Linked DNA regions of Caenorhabditis elegans. The protein of the gene in region 1 purifies or fractionates together with the protein of each later gene. This does not show direct contact. Each region holds a gene or a part of one and is shown in the gene's direction. Other genes may lie near its edges. The genes, in order: car-1 and cey-2.

Region 1 (4,040 bases):
TCGATCGAAATCCCCCAGATATACGATTTATTGCAATTTCTTTAATTTTTTCTGCGTTCCTTCTCTTCTCCCCGTCACTGCTTTCGTATTATTATTACTGTTCCTATACATGATGAAATAAATATACACGTTTGATTGGGTTCTTTGCTTCCTTTTTTGGAAGTTTTTAGAACAACTGGCAAGAAAATGGCGAAGAATGTGCGAAATTTCGGATTCAAGTGGGCGAAAATTCGAAAATTTCGAATTTTTTGACAAAAGTCGAGAGTTCCGGAGTCATATGGCAGCCAATTAGGCGAAAAGTTCAATATTTTGCGGGAAATTCCCAAAAGCCGAATCCACAGGCCCAGCTTAGCGATACGATGATAATTCTCAAGTTTTTAACACATTCTTCCTGGAAAATAGATTTATACACGTATTATATTATAGAGAAAGCTGAAATCCTAAAAAGAAAGTAACAAAAAATATGAAAATTTTCGAATTATTCGCTCAAAGATCGCCCTTCCTTCCTCGGAATCTCGATCTCATGTCCACCAGTGATCGCTTGCAGTCGGTGAAATTTTGGAGAACGGCGAAACATTTGTCGGGTACACTTCCGTCGCCACGTGCATCGATGCATTCCTTCGCAGATCGAGCTTGAACTTGCACACAATGCGAGTTTTTGATGCATTTTTTGAGTGCTTGACGTAGACGATCACACGATACACCGGTCTTCTTTATCTCGTTGAATTCGTCTTCTTCAAATTGTTGGGATTGGGAGTGTGCGGTGATTCCGGCCATTTTTCGCGGGAGTTTGCCTGAAAAATCGAATAAAAATTGATTTTAGAAGATATAACTAGTTTTAAACAATAAAATTTAAGTAAATTTCAGTCTTTTTCACAATTTTATCACAAAAAAACGAGAAAATTCAATAAATTCGCACAAAAATTGATTTTATTTCATTTAAATTTTGAAAAATAATTAGTGTCGATTTACGGAGTTGGCACGGTGCCAAGATTTGCAGAATCGTGGCGAGACCCACAAAAACCTATAGCAAAACATGCGCCTTTAAATGGGATTGGGGTGCAGCGCCATTTTAGGATTTTTGTTGTTTTCTTCGCAAAATTGTTGATTTTTCGTTATTTTTTTTGATTTTCTAGGGAAATTTTCAATGTTTTATTGCTAAAATAATTATTTTTGACGTGATGAACTTAAAGTTACAGCTTAGAATCATTAAATTTTGCGAATTTTGATAGAAACTTCCCATTTTTTGTGATTTTCAAGTTTGAGCTTACCTTTTATTTCTTCTGCCGATTTTTAGCTGTTTGAGAAGTTCAATTAGTGAGTTTTCGGTTCTTAATACTCAAAATTATTTTTACTGCAATGGTACGGCCGTGGCTGCGCAGTACCTCATAAAATAAGTGGGCAGACGGATGCAATCACGCTCCATCGGCGCAGAATCGATAACGATGACGGCTTCGCATTTTACTTTTAAACTTTTGCAGCTTTTCCCACTTCTTATAAGAAATTAGGGCTTTAAACTGTCAGTGTTATCCTTGTATATTATCGTTGATGTTCCTCTAAGACTTATTGACACCTCCGTATCGATTTTAGGCCAATTAGGTTAATTTCTAAGGTTTCTCGACACAATTGAGATCGCTTCGACATTTTTCGTAGTATTCCGCAAGATTTTGTTTTAGGATTGATAGAAGCGCACATTTACACGGTTTCAGTTGTTAATTTATTCTCCTATTCCCGACAATATTGCTCTTCGTCTTTCTTCAAACGTTGTGAAACTTAAATTATATTACATTTTTGCAGGTAATAATGTCGAATCAAACACCGTACATCGGAAGCAAGATTAGTCTGATCTCCAAGCTCGACATCCGTTACGAGGGAATCCTCTACACCGTCGACACCAACGACTCTACCATCGCGTTGGCCAAGGTTCGCTCGTTCGGAACCGAGAAGCGTCCAACTGCTAATCCGGTCGCCGCTCGTGATGATGTCTACGAGTACATCATCTTCAAGGCCAGCGACATCAAGGATTTGATCGTTTGTGATACTCCGAAGGCGAGTTGCCGGATAATCGAGCTTCATTGATCTAAATAATGTCTTTTCAGATGGCCAACATTGGAGGAGGGCTTCCATACGATCCAGCCATCATCTCTGTCTCCTCGAGATCAGCCCCAGCAAGTGACGGAGCTCCAGCTGCCTCTGCAGGTTCTTCCAGAGCCGGAACGCCATCCCGTAACAGTCCGTTAGGCCAAATCATCCAAAATCAACGTCCAGGACGTGGAGGTTATCAGCAAAGTCAGTTTTATTTTCTTTCAAATCAACTCTGGATTTATGATCATGTTTTCAGACTTCCAAGCTAACCGTGGATACAACAACTACCGCGGAGGATTCGCTGGCGGATACAACAACCAAAGAGGGCACAACAATTATGGAGTTCCTCGAGTTAATCACCGCGAAAAGCTGAAGTTCGAATCGGACTTTGACTTCGAGAAGGCCAATGAGAAGTTCCAAGAAGTTCTCGTCGACAACCTTGAGAAGCTCAACATTGAGGATAAGGCCGAGCCAGAAGTTGAGGAGAAGAAGGATGCTGCCTTCTACGACAAGAAGACTTCATTCTTTGACAACATCAGCTGTGAATCACTGGAGAAAGCCGAAGGAAAGACTGGACGGCCAGATTGGAAGAAGGAGAGAGAAACGAATCAGGAGACGTTCGGACACAACGCAGTGCGTTCGTTGAACTACCGTCGTGGATTCGGAGGACGAGGACGTGGTGGAAACCGCGGATATGGAGGTATAGTTCCACTTTAGAAGTTACAACGTCTTATGCTCAATTTTCAGGTTACAACAACGGATACCAGCATCAACACCAGCACCGTGGAGGATACAATGGAGGTTATCGTCAGAACAACGGTGGATACCGTCGTGGTGGATATGCTCCACGTGACAACCAAGGCAATACTGCCGCAGCTGCCGAACAATAAGTTCGAATTCCCTGAAATTGTTTTCTCCCCACATCCCCATACCCCGATATTAGCCGTTTGTTAATTTATTATGTAAGTTTATCCATTCTCCCCCCCCCCCCATCAATGATTACCCTTGTCTCTTCTCAACTATTGGCGTGTTATAAGAAACCCGTTAATTATTTAGAAATCTCGTACGATTCAATGCGGGCCTTCTGTTATTTTGTAATAATTATTGCGCACCCACCCACCGACACACATCTCCCATCCAAAAAATTCCCAATGTTTTTTCTTCCCCCACTACAATAGTGATTGGACCCTTCCCCCGTTTTTTTAAGTTCTAGCTTGTGAATTTTAAAGCATGTCGTTCTGTTGTCCTCAGTTTGTCATTTTAATAAAATTGCAGTGACTAAACTGTCAAATCGTTTGCACCTGCTCTCCTATCATCCCACACCCCGCCTTTTATGATTGTCTTCTAGGAGATATGAAATTGTTTTTAAGATCTTCTCTTAGATTTGCTATAATATTGCAAACCCTTCATTCTTAGGTAGACAAGCCCTGAGAAATTGTGATTTCCCCGTATAAACTTTTTGTTTTGTATCATTGCTTCGATGTTTTCTTTCTACAACTTGGAAGCCAGTTGGACATGTAAGGTGTCAAAAAATATTGGTATAAGTTTGCTGTAATTTCAAAAAGTTCGATAGTTGTTCTGGCGACTAAATACGTAAAGAATAGCTAACAAATGTTACTTTATAAAAACTATTCAGCGAAACTGATTGAAGTGAACACATTAAAGAAATAAATTAAACATTAAAAGAGAAAATACATAATAAAATTATTCCTTGGTGATCTCGAACTTCCAGGGGCTAAAGTCGATTTTGACGCTATGCCCTTTGAAGAGACAGCGAATAGTTCCCTTAACTCCTCCATCTCGGGAAATTTCGAATCCAGAGGCATTCGGATCGAAAACTCTCGCAGCGTCCAAACTCATACCCATGCAGAATTCCCATTTTTTGAAATTTGTGGACTTCATGAGGCACTGAAAAGTTATTTGAACTAGTTACAAGCAGTGTAGGTGGAATAACT
Region 2 (3,730 bases), 7.3 Mb from region 1:
AAACGATAGTCGTTTGTTCTGATGTTAAAACTTCGGACGGCGATATTTGTTTTTACTTCAGCCATTCCTTCTTCCCAGATGCTTGATAATCCTTCGAAACATGGCTGAAAATTAATTGAATTTTTGTTAGCTGATACTACAGCTGATAAGCCATGGTTTAAACCAATCTATCTCTACCACAACTTACAATTTCGATGACAATACTCTTAATTTTTGAGAATCTCCAAATACGTAAAAACGCTCGCATAGCTTCTGCAGTATGATCGGGGCATTCAGTTTGACGTCTGAACATTTATTAAGACTTTGAATTTTCTCTTTTAATTTGAAGTTTTGAACAAAGAATACTCACAGTGAGGTTCCTCGAAACTCCACCATTCTGCTCACAACTCTTCCAATCTCATTTTTCCATTTCATTATCAGAATAGTTTTCTGAAAATAACTGGGTTGAATAAACAAAGTAATTCAATTAAAACTAACAGCTGTAGAGGGAAGCTCCGTAATTCCGAGTTCGTGAAGCTTATTTGGAAGAGTTGAGCATATCTGAGAGTTTTCCCAGCTGACCAACATCATGTTTTGTTTATCCTGCAAACGGATTTTTTCTTTATCTAACTGATTTGATGGAAATTTGAGCAAAATGATTTCGCAACACTTACTGGGAATGGTAGTCGAGTGAGAATATTTCTGCGTATTTCTCGTGGCAAGTGCTTCCATCCAGCCTCTTCTTCTATAATTTGGCAATTTCAGATTTATCTTCATTATTAAGCATTAACTAACCCTCGAAATCCATTATTTCTTCCAGTGCCATTTTGAGTAGAATGGAACAGCGGAAAGAGAAGAAAATCGGCAGAAAAAACGGGAACCTCACGCCCAGAGGCAAGAGACCCAGAGATGTAAAGAGAGGCCGTTTGAGAAAGAATATCAATGGCGCAGGTCGATCAGAGACATGAAAATAACACAATATAAAATGAGGATGCACAGAAAAGACGTGGAGGATAGAAAATGAAGTTGGAGAGAATGGACGATTTGAAAATCAATTTTTTGAGAGTACTGTGCGAGTATTATGACGTCAATTTCTGGAAAGGGCAGAGTACATTAGTTTTTAGAAAGCATGAACAACATCACGGAGAACATTAACTAAAGTCACCATTAAAAAAACAAAATTGGAAATAGAAATTCCGAATTCGTTTGAACATTTATAATGAACACTCGTTGTACTAATTGGAGGCAGGATTAAACACATTTAGATTGTCACACGGGGCCTAAAGCGTTTTTATATTCTTAAAGTAATCTCTTAATGTATAAAAAAGAGACATTTCCCTTAAATTGGAAAGTTAAGGAGTGTCACAATAGGAAACAACTGGAAAACAATTGAGAAAATCTAAACTTTAGAACTTAATTCCATTTTTTCTATCTCAATTCCGTAACTTTCAAAAAATCATAATACGCTTTACGAGGGAATGTTAAATAATGAAATATTTTAGAATTTCAGTGATTATTATAAACTATTTAATACCAACAATACTATCCATATCAATCAGTTAAACAATCGTTTAAAAATTCAAGACAGTGATGACAAAATGATAGAAAATAGTAAAATAGCATATTGCAAAACAATCTGATACAAATTTGACGAAAAGAATCCAAAAATTGTTTAGGAATTTCCTAACCATGCATTGCGTTTGAAACACCGCGCGAAGTTAGATGTGCAGGTTACCGGGTTACTGTAGTACGGGACCCATTAGCTTCGCAGATGCGCGGCCCAAAACATTCATTTCGATTTTGCAGCTTGAAGTTCACGCGCCGTGAGCTGTTTTTCTCATTTCTAAATTTTTTTGCTGCTGATTTTCGACTTTAGTTTTGGTTACGTTTTTGAGCATGAGCACATAGCTTCTGTTAAATATTCTTTTTAATCTTTACCCAATTTTTGTTTAATGACTTATTAAAAGTTACCCTCTTACAGTCAACCTCACTTGCTTCAACCAAATTTACGACTATGTCGGACACCGCAAACGCCGCTGTCGAAATCGGAGAGGAAGCTCTCGAGCAGAAGCTCGAAGAGCTCTCTGTTCAAGATAAGACAACGCCAAGCAACAGCGAAGAGAAGATGCGTAAAAGAGTATGTTACACATTTAAATTAATTTAGTAATTACTTAATTTAGCGTCTGCCGACTGCTGAGCGCATCCGTCTGTGGGAAGAAGAGCAGAAGTCGAAGACAGCCATTACCACCGGACTTCAAGGAAAAGTGAAATGGTATTCTGTTCTCCGTCGCTATGGCTTCATTTCTCGCAACGATGGCGAAAAGGACATCTTTGTTCACCAGACAGCCATTGCCAAGTCAGCCACTGAAAAGTTCTACCTCCGTACCCTCGGGGACGATGAAGAGGTTCTCTTCGATCTCGTCGAGGGAAAGAATGGCCCAGAAGCTGCTAACGTAACAGGACCCAACGGAGACAATGTCATTGGATCGAGGTGAGGGTTTATATTGACCATGGAAGTTTTTAAATCCTATTTTACAGATACCGCCACAAGCTTCTCTCTCGCTTCCGCAAGAACCGCAAGCCCAGAGCTTCTGTCGATGGAGAGGAATCCCAGTCGACCGATGCCAAGCCACAGGAGATGTCGGCGGATGCTGAGAAGAAAAAGCCAAGAAAGCAACGCAAGAACAGAAATCGCAAGTCGAAGGCCCAACAGAAAGGAGCTGGTGATGCCGCTGATTCATCGGCTGTCACTGAATCTTCCGAATCTGCTTCTGACGTTGCTTCTCCAGACTCCAAATCTTGTTCCAAGATCATCACAGAGGAAGCTGGACTTTCCAAGGTTGACCGTTGCGACTCTGCACTTGGAGAAGCCGGCCTAGGAGCCCAGCCAATCGATGCTCAGATTTAAGATCCATTAATGCTTATTTCTCAAATTTGTACCTTTGTACATATACATAGTACACTTTATCATATTCCCAATTTATGCATGCTATTGTAAGTCCCTATCCCTCTTGTTCTTCAATGCCACATTGCCTCAGCTTGTAATGAGAAAACCTCTCAATAAAACCGTTTACCGGTAAATTGAATGTTTATTTCATAACAATGACTCATCATATCAGCTTCTCAAATCTTATCAGTGAGATATCTCTGATGAAAATAGGTCACCAATTCTTATTCGGCATATTGATTAGTTTCGTACAATGATTCGCATAGGACGACTGTTTTTATTCTGTTCTTTTATTTTGCACATTGCGGCAGAAAGGTGAACGAATCATGAGCAATAGTGAGAAATACAATTTCGTCTATTCAGATGTCCGCCTGTTTTCGGTGAGTATGAGTGCCCAGTTGGATTTACTTGTGAAGAGAAGCAATGCTTTGGTAGGAACAAATCCCCATCTACATTCTGTTCATTCGAGGTTTTCAAGTTTTGATGAATATTTTCAAAACGTTTAGTTTAGGTAGAATGTCGAGAGGGATTCGTTTGTTCTGAAGGAAAATGTTATCCAATCACTTCAGTGAAATGCAATCGGTACAGTTAATTTCTGAATAAGGAATGATAACAACTTGTCAGAGCAAATAAAACACAATTTTCAGACACGTATTGGTAGCTGAAGGTTCAGCTCGAAGCATAGTCTCCGATTGTGGAAAACATGGAAAATGCGTCAACGGGCAGTGCATTTTGAATAGTGGGTATTTTTATAAATTAGTTTTAAAAACTAGTTTTCTCGTACATATTACAGGAACACGAAAT

What was found.
Region 2: the proteins of car-1 (region 1) and cey-2 purify together in Caenorhabditis elegans (affinity purification with mass spectrometry, with the first as the bait; 2 studies listed by BioGRID). This does not show direct contact.

What each region holds. Positions count from the first base shown.
Region 1 is NC_003279.8:12,902,673-12,906,712, forward strand, and holds car-1 (Protein LSM14 homolog car-1), read left to right. Parts: upstream 1-1,797; 5' UTR 1,798-1,803; coding exon 1,804-2,049; intron 2,050-2,099; coding exon 2,100-2,289; intron 2,290-2,341; coding exon 2,342-2,785; intron 2,786-2,832; coding exon 2,833-2,975; 3' UTR 2,976-3,368; downstream 3,369-4,040. Other genes in the region: coa-5 (Cytochrome c oxidase assembly factor 5), read right to left, coding at 487-777. UniProt on the Caenorhabditis elegans protein: Transcriptional regulator. Involved in modulating embryonic expression of ATP-dependent chaperone cdc-48.1. May play a role in mRNA gene silencing, and RNA granule (P-body) assembly.
Region 2 is NC_003279.8:5,617,609-5,621,338, forward strand, and holds cey-2 (CSD domain-containing protein), read left to right. Parts: upstream 1-1,960; 5' UTR 1,961-1,993; coding exon 1,994-2,116; intron 2,117-2,159; coding exon 2,160-2,470; intron 2,471-2,517; coding exon 2,518-2,887; 3' UTR 2,888-3,060; downstream 3,061-3,730. Other genes in the region: xrep-4 (F-box domain-containing protein), read right to left, coding at 1-104, 188-284, 350-429, 478-582, 654-724, 775-805; F46F11.7 (Tenascin), read left to right, coding at 3,180-3,241, 3,290-3,395, 3,438-3,508, 3,574-3,665.